Drosophila melanogaster: one gene and its partners. The protein of the gene in region 3 interacts with the protein of the main gene of each other region in a pairwise test. Each region holds a gene or a part of one and is shown on either strand. Other genes may lie near its edges.

Region 1 (6,337 bases), on a different chromosome or scaffold from region 3:
GTGCGACGGCGATCTTTGCAAGAAATTCGCTTAGCCATAGCTGCAGAAGCCTCTCCGGCTGCAAATTGGATTGGAAATTCGATTATCGGCGGGCGCTGAATGTGCTGAATACCAATTTGTTTGGGAACTCGGATTCGGATATACATATCTATGTATGTCACTGGGCCCATACATAAATATGCGATTTACGCATCGTGTATGTATGGGCCGTACGTAAACATGTATACTTCCTAGCCCTGTGGACATGGCGCATCCGTTCCAACGGCCACTTACGTCCTCAAATAGGCTGCCAACGTTTGCCGTGACCAGAAACACATCCGTGCTGGACGCGTCTTCCTGTGCTGACTCCATTTGATCCCACTTTCGCCTGCGATGCAACAATTTTATTCACTTTTTATCAGCGTTCCAATTGTAAATACTAATTGAGTCAAGGCGCAGTGTGACCATACCGCCTGGCGAAAACTAGGCCATTTCGATTATTAGCTTTTAAGTGACCGTAATCGTTTATATTTCAAATATATTTATGCATATCTCTGCAGTTTTTTAATTAAACTTATTTATTTCGTTTACATTGAATAATACAATACCCCTCACGAATTTAAATAGTTAAGCTTCATTTCTTTCATATTTTGTTAACTTTAGGTTTCAGAATCGTAATTAGGTCACTTCCGGCAGTGACCGAGATAAAAGTAACGGTAATATCATGAGTACAATGGCCAGTTAAAAGTAGATATAAACAATTAAATGGCACAGGGAATAGAAATTAATGGGTTTGGACAAAGCAATAACATTGAAACTTGCAGGTTTCTAATGTTTTACAGTTCTTTGATCCTTAATATTATTATTTATCCTATTATCTTGACTAAGTTTTTGAATTTCAGTGTAACTGCAATTAAATGCGTATAAATGCAGCTCGAAATTAACAATTCATGCGGTGTGGTGGCACATTAAGCAATTTGGTGATCCGTTGTCTATATTATAAGCATATCCGCCGACATAAAACTATTAAGGCCCATTAAGACCTACGGTGTACATCATCTTTTCATTCAAACAGCTTACAGTAGTTACTGCGTACTGCGTATGACGGTTTCAATCTTTGACAGAATTCCTAAGTATCTTCAAAAGTATTACAACCGCAACACTTGTCCGAAATGTCTTCAATTTGTGTCACTTATGCAAATCCGTAATTCCCACAAAACGGGTTTAACAATTTGTCAAAAATTCGATGTCAAATGCCCAAATGAAACACAAACTGGCAAACACTATATAATATAGGCGGTTTGCTATTTCCAGGCTTTTTGAAAGTTGGGTAGTGAAAGTTGTATTGAACTCTGTGCGTCTCTTTCGAAATCTCCAACACAATCCAAGCGATTGCACGTAGCATGAATACTGAACAGCACGTGAGACGGTAGCCACATTTCTTGCAAGAATACACAAGTGAATTCAATTCCTCCACTCCGGCTCCACGCTGCACATATATGCCCTATAAGTGGGGGCCAAGCCTTACGGGGGAAATGCGATGGCAGTTATAAATACTTGCACACACGTCCGTCCACCTGATATTTTCTTTGCCACAATGTTTTCGGCCCCAAATTTATAAAGAGACGGACGGCAGGCAAACCGTTTATTGTACTTTTAGGAACCGCTTAACTCATATCTCAACGCGATCGCAAAATGCGTACCGAATACCTGGTCGTTCTGATTATATGCACTTCCTGCATTTGCATTAGTGCTGGAGATAGCTATTCCGGGGATATTCAAAGCTCGAACTCATTGGATTTCGGTGTGTGAAAGATAATAGGGATCAAAAGAGATTCTAAAGTGCTGAAAAACCTTATAGTAAAGCAAACTGAAAGTGAAATTAATAATATACACTTACAAATATATGTGTTTCTGTACTATCAATTGGCACTGAGTGCTTAAAACGATAATTCAGTGTACAAACAACTATTCAAATCTTTATGACAGAAGTCATTGGATTAACTTCTTGGATTATCCTTGAATGCTAAACTTATAAGATTCTTTCGCATTTATTAGGCAACGATAGTGGGGGCTACAGCTACAGCTCCCCGCCGAGCAACAGCTACTTGCCTCCAGCCACACCTGCTCCGGAGTACCTGCCTCCGCCGAACAATGGATACCAGTACAATCCGCCGCCGAACAACAACTACCTGCCACCGCCTAACAACAACTATCTGCCTCCTCCTCCTGAATATGGACCGCCAGCTGGCTATCCTTCCTATGGACCACCACCTCCTCCGTTTTACAAGCCAGCTCCGTTCATTCCCTACCATTCGCACGACTCCATTCTGGAAAAGCTTAAGTCCAAGATCAATCTGTATACGCTTGGAAAGATTTTGCTCAAGCTGTTGATATTCAAGAAAATCGTCAAGTTCATCGGCCTGATTTTCTTGCTCTTGGTTCTGCCGAAGCTGAAAAACATTTTCAAGGATGATATGATGTCTGGATCTGGTGAGAGCGATGGCATGGAAAGCAAACTTGTAGAGACAGATAAGGGTAAGGTGTTTCTATATAGTGCTTTAAGCATTAATTATTAATATTTATATTTCTCCCTTTTACAGATAAACTAGCCCAACAAATTGAGAACCTATACGATTTTGTAATAAACTCGATAGAAAGTTTTGAAGGAAGAAGTTCGTAGATCAATACCAAAATTAGTTATAAATGCATTGTTACAAATTGTATTACACTTGATTATTTATTTGTTAAAGTCTTATAAATAAAAGTATTTCGTATTTTACTCTTGTGTTTGAACTTGGGGCATATCATTGATTCAGACTGGTTCTTAAATCAATCCAACATCCTGATGGCTTGATACGCTTAATTAGGTTCTTGAACAGTACTCATTAAGTAGTCGGCCTATCTACCAGAATATTAGCCAAGGTACACATTTGTACCTGCAAACGTACCTAGGTACGAAAGCTGTCACCTTGCGCATCACTGGCGACGATACATTTCGCCGACTATCGATAGACGGGCTCACTCTGCGTCCGCATCCAAGTTGCGATCGGATTCATTCGCATTCGCCAGTGATCAACTCCGCTGCTGCAGATCCACAGCCAAAAAATGCTGCACATAGTATCGGTTGTTATTATAGCCCTGAGTCTGGGCTGTGCCGTTGGCCAGGATTTGCGGCGTGTGGACGACACCGAGTTGATTCAACTCCTGACCGGCAGCAGCAATGTGGTTGTCCTATTCAGTGAGTATTGGTAGGAAAGTCAGCCAGAGAAATCCAGCCTACGTGTCCACTGTGCATATGGAGGATGGTACACCGGTTACTGGCTAACGAGCACACTTAATTGCAGACAAAAACAATTGCCAGCGCTGCGTGGAATATGAGAACATGGTGACCAAGATACGTGCCCAGCTGGAGGAGACCTTGTCGGCCATTGTGGTCCAGTCGGTGGACAGCAACCTGGTATCCATCTATGACCCCAGCAAGGAGCCCGCTTTGGTGTTCTTCAGGCGAGGAATACCCATTCTATACCATGGCGAGATCAACGATGACGAAATCCTAGACTTCTTCAATGACAACTTAGAGCCAGCGGTCAAAGAGCTTTCCGACGACAACTTCGAGCACCTGACTCAAGCCTCGTCGGGTGCCACTACCGGGGACTGGTTTATCTTCTTGTAAGCTATATTAGTCATGCGTTGAGGTCGCCATCTAAGCGTCATGAGATGTACATATATGTGCACATATGCTCACCTACACCCACTTCCAGCTCTTCGGCCGAATGTACCGTCTGTCAGCGACTCTATGCCGTTTGGGAGTCTGTGGGCGGAAAGCTAAAGCGAAAGCTGAATATTGCCCGCATGAACAGTTTGGAGTCTGGAATCTCAACTGCTACGCGACTGGGAGTATTGGAAGCACCGGCTTTTATTTTGTAAGCCCTGATCGCTTTGGTTGTGTCCAAGAATAGATTATATAAATTATAATCATTACAGCTTGAGGCAAGGAAAGATGTACAAATATTCAGCCAAGCAATACAGTCCCGAAGCCTTTGTCCAGTTTGCTGAGAAGGGATATACCCAGAGCCATCCTCAACCAGTGCCCGCAATCCCAAGTGCCGTGTAAGTATTCCTCTCATAGCTAAAATGATTTTAAATTCATCCATCGATCGAATTTTAAACTCAAAGTCCGATTATGACCTTTTTATAGGGATTTGTGAGAAACTGATACATGTGTTTAGTAAGTGAGCCAAGATAAAACTTGTAAACCTATTAATAATTACTATTAGTTAACAAATACTGATTCTTTGTCCCCGGTACAAGGTTGCATATAACGCCAGTTTGAGGGTATTCAACATAGACACTGATTCCACCATCGAGCATAAAACAATTGTTAATATCACTCCGTTGATTAATATCGAACCAAATGTTAATCGTAACCGTTGTATATTATCCAGTTTGTACATAAACAATATTACATTAATCAATTATACCCTGGTTAAAACAGTTCCTGGTTTGAGAAGATCGAATTTAATACTACACAACGTTTATCCTAATAACCAATGATCAAATGAGCTAATGTTTTAACTTTCGTGCTTTTCAGAAACGAATTTTTGGGCCCACTGCAAAGTTATTTTGCAGCTGAAAACATAACATCGCTGGCGACTTTGAGTATTTTCGCCTTAGTTGCTCTCTTATTCGTTGGCAAAAAGGTTGCCAAAATATTCAGTTCAGAGCCTGCGAAAACAAAAAATAAGTCGAAATAAAACTAATATAAAGACTAAATGAAACACGACGTTTTTGAATTAGTCGAGTGACAACAATTAGCGGAAAAGTGGGCGCGAAAATTCAACTGCTGCAATTCCTAACGCCACAAAAACTGGCAGCTCTTTTGGCTGGAACGGTGGAAGCGGAACATGCAAATATGGATACCTAATATCGCAAAAGATCCATTGTTCACTGGCGCACAACGCTGACAATACCTATATCCTATCTCTTGATTGCTTTCAATTAATTAGCGGGCAAGCAAACAAAAATATTTAGATCGGCCCATTTAGCAACTGGGCTCGGAGTTCAGGGGCTAACTCGGCTAGCAATCTAGCCAATTGCTTAAGTGCGATGATAGTTTGGCGTGGAACGCTCAAATTAAAGCAGCGTTTCGTTTCGTAAAGCGTGAGATTCGCGATCGTGTTGTTAGGCAGTTTTTTTTTATTTGTTTCGCAGCGGTCATCGTTGGCGTAAGCGTATTCCTCGGAACCTGGATTTTTTGTATCTTGGGGTAAATCACTCAAAACACGCTATTTATACACCCGCTGATACCCAAATACACGCAAATGTACCCGAATTGGTGTTGGTTAAAACACAGTGCTCGCTAAATGTCAGCTGACGTCAGAAGGTCTTGAAAAAAGAGCGAGGAGTACACACGAACACAAAAACGATTACGAATACGAGTGGGACGTATATATGTGTAGTGCGGTATATCGATATCGGTAGATCGAGAGAGAACACTACACTCACACGACACTCACATTCGCATTCGCAGCGACTTTCGATTGAGATTTTGGTTGGCTGTGGCTGTAGTCAAGCGAGCGCACATGAGTCAGATTCGTAGCTTTTGTTTTGTTCAGTCGAGTGCGAGTTCTGTGCGATTCAGATACTCGCTGCCATCCGAACCGAACTGAAGTCCAAGTCGAATCTAATGTGCGTACTTACGTGTAGAACAGTTCAAGAAAATGTGCAGACATTCAACGGTCGCATTTGTGTGGATGTGTGGTTGTAGTGAAGAGTGCCAGCATTAATCGCATTTTTCCCCTGCACGAGCACCACGACTAGAAAATACTCGACACGTCTGTCTGTTTTTCTGCTTTATTGCTTCTACGCTATTCTGCTTTTCCGTTTCGGTTTTCCTCCGCTTGGCCTAGTGAAAAACAACAAATTTGATTATATTGTGTAAGTTATGTCTAGCATTGAAAAGATGAAAAGTGTCATTCCTATAAATACACCACCACCTCGGGAAAGGCACTCGCAATAGAGAAACTGGCCAAAACCCAACAACAAACATAACAAACAAAGGAACCGCTGAATATAACCAAACTTCGGAGTAGGGGCTGAGCTAAAAAGTATAGTGCGCAGCCATCATGACTAACTCACCACCCAAAACGCCAGCCCAATTACAGAAAATCGATATTCTAGTCGCGCTGTAACGCTGCGTAGCTGCTAAATACACAGCTCCCTACCTGCAAACAACCCGAATACAAAAAAAAAAAAAAGAAAACTACGAATAACAAAACAGTCAGGCGAGGCATTAGTATACCGAAAAGCGAAAACCACTTCCGCCAATGGTCGAAATCGCCGTCGCCATCTCGAC
Region 2 (8,047 bases), on a different chromosome or scaffold from region 3:
TAGCCTTTCTTTTCTCTCTAGCCTTACCCCTTTTACATTCAACCAAAAATCATCGGTTTCGCCCCCAAGTTTGACCTCAGAAAGACATTCAAGACCACGTTAATTGAGCTTCGGAACGAAGACCAAAAGCCAAGTATAGATAACAACATCTGATAAATGGCGGGCCGAATCGAAAACGAAATCTCAATCTCTCTGAACTCTAAACCTGATCTGGGGGAGCTCTCGCTTTTGGAACAATTGTGAAATGCTTTAATTTCTGAAGTACCTTTAATGAGCATTTTCAACATGGTCATCATACAATCAGCCAGCCAGATGGGCCACAATGGTCTTCAATATACATGTGGACCAGTCGGGCTTTCGGTTCGATAATTATTGCCTTCGGGTAGCTGGGGCTTTGAGGTTCCGAGTCTTCACTCAGAATCCGTTTCGGGTGGAACACAATCTGTAAATGTATCTCGGTGTTGGAGTCCGTATCTTTGCGACCATATCGCCATGTATCTGTATCTGTATCCGTATCTGCGGCTGAGCGTGTGTTGAGGCGAATTAATGATTACATTCGCTTTTGCTTCGTAAGCTTGATCCACTAACCCTTGCCAGCGGCCCCTTCGGTAGCTCTTTCACTCAACTGGAGGCCATGAAAGGAAATTGTAATGATCGAAATCAAAATGTTTTCGTTACTTTGCCTCCTAATGAAGCTTGAATAGTGCGAATGACTCTCAAGTCTTAGCTCTCTCTCACTCTTTCTCGTTCTTGAGTGTCGAATCTCGAGTACACGCGCCTTTTAATCGAAATTTGATGATGGATTCCCCGCCAGCAGCCGGAATCCAATGGGGAAATCAGTCAGAGGTTGAGTATCTGGTCTTTACTCTTTCTTAGCCGCCTTTATTGTTGGCCATTTGGGGGGCTTGGTTCTGGCCGCTATTTGCCTTTGTTATTTATTTATTGTTATTACCGTACATTGCTCGCTGGAAGTTCTGAAATGATTTCTATTTTCGTAATTGTCTAAATAGGTTTCGATTTGGCTTGAAATTGAGCGAAAAGAGAAAACCAACGAAAAATAGGGTTCTTGAGGGTTCCCAGGGGCAAACTTCGACGGTGAGTTGGCAACTTTCTGGTCCGCCAGGTGGCAGCTGCATTGCAGGTGACAATGAAGGGGTGGCTGTACCCATATATACACTTATACATATATATTTGTATATGGTAGTAGTTACACATGTGTTTCCATGCACATTGAATTGAAAATTATACCTCTTCCCCACTTGCCACGCTCTGCTTGAGTCGGGTCTGCAAAAGTTTTCAAGCTTGTTACTATTGAATAATAGTATATTAATTTTACTGCATTTTTTATTCCCCCGAGCACGGTATGCAAGCCCTCAACTTACTTTTAATTGAATTGAAAGTCAAAAGTTTTGAGCTCGTGGAAAAAAAAGTGAAAATGTCGAGACAAATTGACACAGAGGAAAAGTTGCCGGTGCACAGGGAAAATGTATAATTAAAGGCAAATTTCCACGGCAGTATGCTGGCTGAAAGGAAAATCTGCTAAATTAAGAGCAGAATGAACACACACAGTTGTATTTTTTAGTTTTCAAATGAGTTTTGTTTTCATTGCGTATATTTTCTGTTTTCGTTTGATATTTTGTTTTGTCGCTTAAATTTGCATAAATTTCTTGTTCTAACTAATACATAAATAGTTGTTTGCATCTGATACGATTTTGCATTTAACAATAAATTAAATAAGTTAAAATTAAGCTTACGTTGACTCTCAGTGCTTGTTGTCTTTATCTAAACTCGTATATCATTTACAATTCATCTTAAAGACTACGATTAACTTATGTTCGGAGGGGGACGAGGAAAACAGTAGTGTTGGCAAAGTGCTGATAGAATTGGAGATCCTTCAGTGTTCTATAGGTTCGAAAGAGTGCTTTAAAGTTAAGTATGTACAAGGCAAGATTTTCTCTGACTTAATGCCTAGGTTGTATTTCGATTACAGCTACTACAATGTTTTCCTTACGCCTAACTACACGCTAATTGTGTCTGGAGGGGAGTGAGTGGTTTTAGTGGGCTTCTTGGGGGTTTTGGCATCACAGTGTTGGGCAGCGGACTACTAAGCATAGATGCTCAGCTGCCTGCGTCGATAGGTCGAGGATCAGTGCGTGAACTGACGCAGGGTGTTGTTGTTCTGCTGCTGCTTCTGAGAGGCGGACTTCTGCTGGAAGGATCTGCGTCCTGTGGTGGCACACAGTCCATTCCGCAGGGGCAAAGCTGGTGGCATCGGTGGCGGCGTGGGCGTCTTGCTGCGACCCAGTTGCTCCAACGGCATCGAGTAGTGGGTATTGCTGTAGATGTAGTTGTGGTCCAGGATCTCGCTGCCCATCTCCTGATCGTATAGCTCACGCTGCTTGAAGTGCTCTTGGGTCAGTCGCAGTTGCGGCTGATTCGGTCCACCCAACGGGGCGCCATGCACCATGGGCACATCCGCGTATGAGTAGCAGGAATCACCAACTGTAGCCGTGGCCGAGAGGAACTGCGGCTTGGTATAGTGGTTCAGCTGGGGATTCTGCTGATGCACATCCCGACCCATGGTGGCCGACTTCATGTGCAGCACAAATGAGGCACTGTCGTCGATGGCTCCCTGTGAAACCAGGGCCTTGTTGTTATTCAGCTTCTTCTCACTGATCATTGTGGCGGTGGGCACTACCAACTGTTGGAACTTCTGCTGGGGATCGATGGCGCCCAGGTCATTGACAGGCATCGGGCACATTCCATAGTGATGGGTAGCTCCGGGATGATGAGGTGCGGTATAGGTGTTGGGGAACGTGGAGTGGATGCCCAGGGAGCAGGGATGATGCTGATGGCGCGACATGTAGTCCTCGTCGCAGAAGGTCTTCTGGTATTCCCGTTCCTTACGGCCCAGAGCCGAGTTACCCCACAGACCGCCCTTGATGGTTTCGCGGATCTTATGACGGCAGCGGTACAGAACCAAAGCCAAGGCGGTAATCGTGGCAGCAGATCCCACCAGGAGAGCTCCAATCAAGGCCTGCTTGCGAGGATCGGCATGTGTGCATCCCATCATAGCAGGATTCAAATGGCGCAAGGATTCACCGCGCAGACGTTCGGGGAACTCACACAGCAGTTCGGAGACATCATCCTGACTGGCATTCTTGGCCACCAGCAGATTGTGCAGCCACATCACACGGCAGTCGCAGGACAAGGGATTTTCGGAAAGGTCCAGAGTCTGAAGATCCTTCCACGGGAACAGACCTTCTGCCAAGGAAGTCAGCGCATTGGCCTTGAGAACAACATGCTTCAATTGGGACAGCCCACTGAGGGCACCTTCTTGAACCTCCAAAAGCATTTTGTTGGACGATAGATTCAGATACTCCAGGTTACCATTGTCGCTGAAGGCTCCGGTCATCACACGCTTCAGCCTAAGAGCTCCATTCACCTCCAGGCGTTTAAGTTGCTTCAGGCCCATGAATGCGCCTTCGCTGATCACCTCGAAATCGTTTTGACCCAGGGACAGCTGCTCCAGACGAACCAGCTTGCTGAGACCCACGGAGGGAATGCGATCCAGACGATTATCGGAAAGATCAAGAATGCGCAACTCCTGCAAGCCGAGGAAGCTGTCGTGGGAGATGTTGCGTAGACTGGCACCCTTGAGTTCCAGGCGAGTAAGTCCTTTCAGGTCCTGGAAGGCATCAGCCTGAATGCTCTGCAGGGTGTTCATTCCAAGGAACAGCTCAGCCAGACTGGGCATGGCTTGGAAGATCACGGGATCGGGAACGGTGGTCAAGGCATTATCATCCAGATAAAGGATGCGCAACTGGGAGAGTCCATCGAAAGCCTTGGGATCCAGATAGCCGATGCGATTCTCGCCCAGATTCAGCTCCTCGATCTTCAGGAGAGGAGTAAAGGTGCCCTGGTGAAGTTCCGAGATTTGGTTACCACGCAGATTCAGAACAGTAACTGCCGACAGACCAATGAAGGTCTTATTGCTGATCTGCCCAATCTTGTTGTGATTCAGATGCACCTCCTGCAGCTTCTTCTGATAGGCGAAGGTGCGCTGCGGAATGGTCATCAGGTGATTCGAGGACAGATCGAGGAAGGTCAGCTCCGCGTAGAACTGGATGGACGAGTCGATGGTCTTGATCTTGTTGCTCTTAATCACCAGTCGCTGGATGGATGGATTCAGAGCAATGGGCAGCACGTCCAGCTGGCCCTCGCCACATTGTACCACCAGGGTATTATCATCGCACTGACAGCCGGGCGGGCAATTGGCCAAGCCCGCCGCAGGCTCCACACCAATGCTGGCCAAAATGCACCAGATGCCCACGAAGGCGATCATCATGTTTCGCTGCATCTTGGGATCTCTGATTCTCTTTTGATTTCTGTCTTTCGGTTTGCTTCGCTCTGTGCTGCTGTTTCAATTCTTTCAGAGTTTCTGTTGATTTTTTCAGTTTTCCATAGTGCTGCGGGTAGACAAACGAGGGAAAAATTTTCAAAATTAGTTTCTGTCTTTTCTGTGAGTTCGGTTAATTAGCCTATTTTCGTGGAACTATTTCTATTGATTAAAATTTACAGGGTTCTTGAAGCAAACATTTTTATGTTTTCACAAGTATTTCATATTGGATATATTTTTAGATTTGGTGTTGGAAAAATCTATATTAAGTTGCTAATGTTTCGGTCCTAATAAATTCTCATTTTAGAAATTTCAAACTCAATAAATATTTAAAGTCAGTAATTTAACTGAACAAAATTAAAATGTTCCAATTATATTTTTCGTATTTTATATTTTCTGGCAGCCTAACTTTATTTTGTTGAAACTTTTCTTCCGGTATTCTAATTTCCACAATATTCCACTTTTTCAGCACTTTTATAAAATGCACATTGTATGCCACAAGTGAAACTTACCTAATGTTTTTCTTTGATGATTGCTTGGCAACAATTTTTAGTTTTCAGCAGATTAAATCGTTGGTGAACAGAACATAAAATGCAAAATGCAGTGTTTCGGTTTTTGTTTGTATTTTGTGATGTGTTTGCGTTTTCACTGTTTCACTTTTGGAAAAATATTTTGAATAGCCAATTTTTTGTTTTGTCACATTTGCTCAACTAAAACATGTGTGTTGTTCAAAATTAAAATTTTGGTTTGTTGTATTGCTTGTTTCGTTTTTTTTTTTTTTGTTTGCTGATTGTTTGTGAAACGTGCGCGATAATCCAATGGTTCGCTTTGACTGCACGCTTCAAGTTGTTGTTAGGCGTTCGACGGGTTTCCGTTTGAATTTACGTATTTCGTGTTACCAACTCTGGTAAGAGAGAGGAACTTGGTCGCAATTGGGTCTCTATAGCTGGCAGACAACCGCTCACGACGAGGCAACGAACTACACTGATTTTACGAAGTGCCTGCTGCACAAACGATACCTCGGCTGGCCACTTTTGCCGGGGTGGTTGAGCGGTACAGAGCGGTAACAGAGCCGTTTGAGCGGTATGAGATGGTGGTGGTGGTGGTGGTGGCTGGCAGCTGCATCGGACATGGGTAAAAAGAGCGGCGTGGCTGAGGCGAGACGGCCTTGCGAAGGCGAGTTCTCTCAGATAAACCCGCCAGCAGGTAGTCGGAACTGGTTGTGAGTGTCGGATACAAATGTATCTCTAGTTGTCTCTCTCGATGGAGAACTCAGTGTGGCGAGTTTCACTCGAAGTTTCCACTCATTTATCTGGCTATACGTGCCCCATATATCCAGGCTCGCTCTCCGACAATTGCAACTCACACGTTGAACGAGCCGCACGTCCTCGACGAAATGCTGTCGCCCATAAAACCTAAAACTAGAACTGAAATAGTCAACGAAAAAAGTAAAAAAAAAACAAAACTGAAGAGAAAACTAAAACAGCCCAAGTGCTGTGGCATAATTAAGACCCCATAAAAAGTACATAGTCCTACGCAGAATAGGAGCTAGATGGATATTTATGGGCCGCAGACATGTCCTGGCCTAAGTGGAGCCTTTTAGTGCGGTTTACAGTCCAAATGTGACGCACTTGAAATTGATATTTTTGTATCTGCGAGTTTGTATCTCGAGGACACGAAAGTGTTGCACTCGAGTATTTCTCAAAAAATATTGTGTCATCTGATACATTTGAGATGCATTTCTCATTCTTGGCATGCAGAGCAAACAACTATTTACAACTCGGCAAAATCACAAAAAAAAGAACGGGAAAAAAACAACTGTGACAACAAGAAAATCAACTTTAAATGGCCATAACTTTGTGCCAACATATGTTGCTGGATCAGAGGGGACCGGGGTGGGGCACATTTTCCGGGCCTTACGGCATGCGGTTTTCCTCCACATTTTCCACAGCCAAGCCCCCCTGCCCCACCGACATAACTGGCATATTTCCGTCTCCGAGAATTTCGCACACAAAATTTATTTATCGTACCGAGATGCAAATCTTTTTCGACTGCTTTTCTGTATCTTTCATAAACTAACCAATAAGTAAACTTGTTAAATTTATACCATATTACCCAAATTTGAGGCATCTTTGCGTATTGAAAGCCAAGGCAACTGTTAATAGTTGCTTGACCATAGGATTTTATGAATTTGATTTGTTGCCTTTGAGAGAAAATAAATACATATACATAATTTATGACAGAAGTAGTTTTGGAAAATTTTCGTTGCCAAGAGAGATAAATTTAGCCTTTAAACATGTATTTCAAAACTCGTCTTTACAATTTATTTAAAGTAAAAAAATTTGATTTGCCTAACTTTGTTGGCAAACATTTTTTTCGTTTCTACTCTTTTGCTGAACTGAAATCTAAATTAAATTGTTGGTTCAATTTCTACATTATTAAATGGGGTACACAACCTATTTTGAATAATAAACCAACTATTGGTTCTCATACTAAAACCTTACATTTGCTCTTTGATGAAACATTCATAAAATTGCAGGCCTTTAAAGATCTGTTTCAAGAAATTAAACAGTTTTGCTGACTTCTTAGAGAAAGGCTTTGGCGAAGTATAATAATAAACTTGAATACAAATGCAGGAAATGCAAACAAATTGCCATAACAGCGGCTTGTAAGAAAAGTATCTTTGGCTTGTAAACTGCCAAAGTGCTCTACATAGGTAAAGACTGCGTAGTTTCCTTTCAAAAACCAGATACGAAACACACAGTGATTGCTGCACATGCAGCTAACGGAAGTTTGCGTTTTTATTTTTATATATGTGCCACAAGCTGGGCTAGTCAGGTGCCACAAGCTTTTGGACCCCAGCTCTCACGTTACACATCGGAAAGCCTCAATCTACCCTCTCAATTTGTGACAATGTGTGAGAATTTCCCAGCAATAAAACCCAAATCCAACAACTTAAAATAAAGGCGAGGTGCACCACACACATCTTTATGCTTTCTGTTAACTCTTTCAGTTTGTTTGCACTGCGACTGATGTCCGAATTGCATATGAAAATTGTTTGGCCAAACGCTAAAAGCACTTAAACAATTAGAGGGAGAAACGAAATGGCTGGGGAAGCAGCTTTCTGTGTAATTAGGTAAAACAAGGTCTGGTGAAGGGCTACGACTACTGTCGAATCGCTGCAGCAAAAGAGAAAAATAAATGTAAATATTTTTTGGATAGTATATAGTATAGAGAAAACTAAAATGTAGGAAAATTTGAAATATATATCTCCTCTTATTTAATATCTTTGTTTTAATAAGCTTATGAGTTTAGCTGTCTTAGAACACTGCGTCAATATCCTTCTTGGATTTTTGACTAAGTTATTATACCATTTTCTAGTCACTTTAAACCTTCAGTTCACATCCGAGGAAGTGCCCATTTTTGTGCCGAACCCTGAAAAAATGGTGCTTACATATTCACCGGAATAATGCCAGACATGGGGAAAATCGCCGGCTATCTGAACGGCAAACATAACGCACTTTGACCAAACAAAGAGCTCGAAGTCTCCTGAGAAGTGACTTATGGGAACGGACAGCTGACGAAGTCTCAGTCATATAAATATGCCACATTCAATATGGGTGCGCATGCGCCGCTTCTTTTTAGACC
Region 3 (4,801 bases):
GACAGAAAACCCATTTGCAATGGTTCAAATATACAATAGTATTCAATTGTAGACGACGCCAGTTGACCTCGAAAACATAGCAATCTTTATTGCTTACCAAAATTTTTGCATTCGGATATTTGCGAAGTCCAAACATGAATGCTACATAAGCTAAGGTAAACAAATTAAGCATTATACGTTTTAAGTTAATCTCTATTTTTTGTTTGTTCAAGAGACAAAAGCAGCACAAAACACAGCTTTTTTTTTGTAGCACACTTTTGCGGGATGATTGTTTATTAAAGCTTTCATTTTATAAGTGAGAAAAGTTACTAACCTAAATGATATATGAGCGAAAGATCATACAATTCTTAGAATTTTGAAAATGCAACTATGATCAGCCGTAATATTACTAAATAAATACATATAATTAACACAAACTTTTTCAACTACTGATAACTTTACATTCAGTCAATCTGTCAACCAAAAAAAAAAAAACATTTTAAACTGATTTGAAAAAATGCAGAAATTCAACATGAGAAATACTATTTCATTGATTTATATATTTGCCTTATAAACGAACAATATTGCTATTTCATTATAAACTATTCAAAAGTTAAGTGCTATGGTTGTCATTGGGTTCAGCATTGGGATTGGAGTGGATTTCCTATTGGTCCTGTGGATCTTTCATTCATCGGATCTGCGACCATTGCGGCTCCTGAGACCCCTTCTCCTTGTGATTTTCCTGACCTTCTTTGGCCTCTTGACCTTTCGCTTATAGTGAGTGACAGTCTTCTTTTTTGAGCTCGAGGAAGGTGAGGCTGTTGTTGTGGTGGCCGAAGCGGAAGTGGTGGTGGTGGCCGAAGCGGAAGTAGTGGTGGTCGCCGAAGCGGAAGTAGTGGTAGTGGCCGAGGCGGAGGTGGACGTGGTGGTTGTGGACGCCTCCGACTCGTGGATCATCACACAGCCGAGGAAGGTGGCGAGAAGTACGAGTACCACGGTGATCTTCATGGTGAGCAAATGCTACAATAGATGCCTTGCTACTGATGCTGTCTTGAAGAACGAAAGCCAGCTTTTATAGTAGTCTTCTCAACTGGGTTTATCCTCTTTTGCAAATTTTTGTCAACAGTTTTGGCCAAAACAAAGGGAGCGTTTTTGCAGAACAAAAAACCCGCAAGTTTGTCAATTGTTCATTGTGCCCAATTGTTCAAACAGTCAAGTAAGTTAAGTGCAAATATATAATATAACTTTTAAGAAATGCCCAATTATGTATGTCCAATTTATATTCGCTACGCAAAAGATATGAAAGATTTTGTTACGTAATTGCTTAACTGTGGTAATTAGTATAAAAGACCACGGCCTCTGGCTGCAGACATCAGTTGTCCAGCCACTGGCCATCCAACATGCGCTACTCCTGTGTTCTTTTACTTCTGGCCACCGTTGCCTGTCTGCTAATCCCACAGACAGGTGGCTCCACGGCCACCACAACCTCAACTTCTGCTTCGGCTACCACCACCACTTCCGCCTCGGCCACGACAACCACTGCGTCGGATACAACTACTACCACAGCGGCTACCACAACCACTTCGTCCTCCTCCTCAAAGAGTAAAAAGAAGAAGAGGACGTATCACTATACACGTCATGTTTATAGGCCAAAGCGGATACGACATATCTATAGGCACAAGGCCGACGACGACGAAAGCTCTACCGATCGCACCAGCACACGCAGCCGTCGTCGTCGCCGCAGCAGTAGCAGCAGTAGCAGCAGTGGCAGCACCAGTAGCCGCAGTGGTAACAGTCGCATCCGCCGCAGGAGAGCCCGAAGTGCCCGACGCCTGTCTTAGTGACCACATCTTGTACAACAAACCAACTGATCTGATCGTGACGCCTTTGAAAATGTAGTTTTTCTTTTTGGTTTTCTTTTTTCCGTTCAAAACACTTAAGGCAAATAAAATGAATATTTCGATATTAGTTCATTCTGCTTATCAATGCCGCTTAAAGCATTTACTTATGCTTTTACTTATGCATTTACTTTACAAAACAGATCGAGATAAGAAGCATCACTTGTTGTTTAAAGTGTATGTCAAGTTCGTTACAACGTATAATTAACCATTGAAATTTTGATCAAATAGTTACTTTCAGAAAAAATATAAAGGGCATACTCCTACAATAAATGCTATATATTATAATCTTAAGTATTATTATCTACCCCAGACGTTATTTAATATAGTTAATAATAGCGCTTTCCTAAGCTACGTACACAATGTGTTTGTTTGTCTATAATTCAGACAAGCTACAAATGAAAGTAAACAATTTATGGCAAAATCATTTTAATTGGTTAATATTTTTCCATTATTTGCTTAAGAGAATAAGTTTAAAGCTGATGTGTTCCGTGTTTTAAAAGCCGTAGTATACTTTTTAGGGGAAATTATTTAAGTGGCAGAATATATAGTTGAATATAGTATAGTATATAGTATATATATAGTAAAGAATCTATATATATAGTATAGTATATAAAGTTGAATTTTTCTGCAGTTTTTACAATGCGTTTATCGTATATAGATTTAACCTAAGTCATTTGCATTTATTTAAAAACCAAGTAACGGTTGACAAAACTAGACTTCCGTTGGCATTAGTGGCTTAAGTGATTTTTATAATAACAGTTAATAAATTTTCGCAAAATGACAAGCTCCATACAAAAATAGATTATCATGCCTCTTGTACATGTGCAAATTTTATCTGTTTAAACAATTGTGCCAATACGAAAAATAGCGAATTTTTGTTTGGCCAAAAATAACATCTTTTCTTTGGCTGACACAGTTTGGCCGAAGAGGATAAACCCAGTAGAGAAGACTACTATAAAAGCTGGCTTTCGTTCTTCAAGACAGCATCAGTAGCAAGGCATCTATTGTAGCATTTGCTCACCATGAAGATCACCGTGGTACTCGTACTTCTCGCCACCTTCCTCGGCTGTGTGATGATCCACGAGTCGGAGGCGTCCACAACCACCACGTCCACCTCCGCCTCGGCCACTACCACTACTTCCGCTTCGGCGACCACCACTACTTCCGCTTCGGCCACCACCACCACTTCCGCTTCGGCCACCACAACAACAGCCTCACCTTCCTCGAGCTCAAAAAAGAAGACTGTCACTCACTATAAGCGAAAGGTCAAGAGGCCAAAGAAGGTCAGGAAAATCACAAGGAGAAGGGGTCTCAGGAGCCGCAATGGTCGCAGCAGTAGAAACCGCAGATCGGAAGAATAAGAGATCCAGGACCAATAGAAAATCCACGCCACTCTCAATGCTGAACCCCAGGAACCAATTGTTTTCTTTTTTTTTTATTTCTTAGTCCATAAGCTTAACTAACACTACAATAATTCTTTTACAAGTCAATTAAGAAATCATAAAAAAATATACATATTTTGTGACATGTCAGTCAAATGTTATTTATTCAGTTATTGGCCAAACAAAATTTAGCAACTAGTTGTTTTGCACAATTGTTTAAACATTTGAAATGCCTTTACTTTATAAATAAATATATGATGCGCATAAATGTGTAAGTTCTTGTATATTTTTTTTAACATCTATAGTGATTTAGCTAATCATTTTATATTAATTTTCAGAACAAATATTTTATTCATGATCATCTGAATGTGAATGCGAAATCTGAAATCCTTTTTAATAAGTTGATTAAAATGCAGACGAGCATTAAACATTTATTCGTCAAGGCTTTTCTGGGCCTCAAAAGTTGCGTTTCCATTGAAATCCATTAGCACAAAACCGAACTCGAGGAAACCCGCAAAAGCCCCAAAAGGAAAATTTGTGCAAGCGGCAAAATACTCGTAAGCAAAAACTTTTCAGCCCAAAAAAGCGAATGGGGAAATTCGAAAAGCTGTTGCCATAGATACCGCACACTCACACACATATATATATATATAGGTACATATATGTATGTATGTATGTATGTGAGAGGAAAAACATTAAGAGAAAAAAACGGAAAACAACAGCCACGAATTCCATAACAAAAGAGGCGAGTCAGGTGGTGCCCAGAATATTTTCGAGCACGAAGACCACTACTGAGCAAACAGGCAGCTAAAACTCTTGTGAGTTGCCATTCCGCAATTAATTATTGTCATTTTATTAAAGCATAGTTTGCGGACTGGTTGAAAACGACCCTTTGGATATGCAAGAATAAACTCAAAGTTTTTGCAGCCATTGTAACAAAACTGAGACACTCCAGTTTCTCCAACATTTCAAAAAACCTTCAGCAGACTTTAACACATGAAGTGCATATGAAAATCTAAAATCAACACAACAAAATCATAAAAAAGATGGCTTAAATCAAGAAAATCAAGAATTCTGCAATTTCAACAAATCGAAAGACAAGTCCTCAATCATTTTTTGTCCAGCAAACGAGCTTTTTTTTTGTTTTTTTGCTACACAGTCCGCCCGATTGAGCCATAAAGCAGAATATATGTACGTATATTTGTTATTGATTTTTATTGAGACATTTGCAAAATTAATGTGTATGATGCGGGAGGGCATTTCCAACAACCGGGTAAAACTTCCTCGACTTGTCGAATGATGACCGGCATTAATAAATCAATAGCGTTTTGATGGCAAATAATTCGAGATCTGCTTCGGGTATGCAGCCATACGCATTGGAGCATCGATGGCCCACATCCTGTGTATCCTTTTGCCACATCCTCGAAACGCCCCACCGACCTTTGCGTCTTTCAATACCCAGGGGCAGTATACACAAATTCGTTACAATAGACCGAAATAACAGTAGTTTAGTACTATGAAGAATTGAATGTTTTATCG

Evidence for each region.
Region 1: the proteins of ng2 (region 3) and CG11790 interact in a two-hybrid assay, tested with the Drosophila melanogaster proteins (one large-scale study listed by BioGRID).
Region 2: the proteins of ng2 (region 3) and trn interact in a two-hybrid assay, tested with the Drosophila melanogaster proteins (one large-scale study listed by BioGRID).

Annotation. Positions count from the first base shown.
Region 1 is NT_033777.3:25,044,699-25,051,035, forward strand, and holds CG11790 (uncharacterized protein), read left to right. Parts: upstream 1-3,007; 5' UTR 3,008-3,087; coding exon 3,088-3,220; exon of another isoform or gene 3,221-3,326; coding exon 3,327-3,651; intron 3,652-3,743; coding exon 3,744-3,905; intron 3,906-3,966; coding exon 3,967-4,092; intron 4,093-4,180; coding exon of another isoform or gene 4,181-4,190; exon of another isoform or gene 4,191-4,210; intron 4,211-4,573; coding exon 4,574-4,736; 3' UTR 4,737-4,757; downstream 4,758-6,337. Other genes in the region: 5PtaseI (inositol polyphosphate-5-phosphatase type I), read right to left, coding at 1-58, 274-351; CG11786 (uncharacterized protein), read left to right, coding at 1,675-1,783, 2,038-2,517, 2,583-2,662.
Region 2 is NT_037436.4:13,111,611-13,119,657, reverse strand, and holds trn (tartan), read right to left. Parts: upstream 5,388-8,047; 5' UTR 4,912-5,387; intron 4,470-4,911; 5' UTR 4,361-4,469; coding exon 2,147-4,360; coding exon of another isoform or gene 2,105-2,146; 3' UTR 1,581-2,104; downstream 1-1,580.
Region 3 is NC_004354.4:3,238,636-3,243,436, reverse strand, and holds ng2 (new glue 2), read left to right. Parts: upstream 1-2,865; 5' UTR 2,866-2,902; coding exon 2,903-3,241; 3' UTR 3,242-3,411; downstream 3,412-4,801. Other genes in the region: ng1 (new glue 1), read right to left, coding at 664-987; ng3 (new glue 3), read left to right, coding at 1,380-1,820.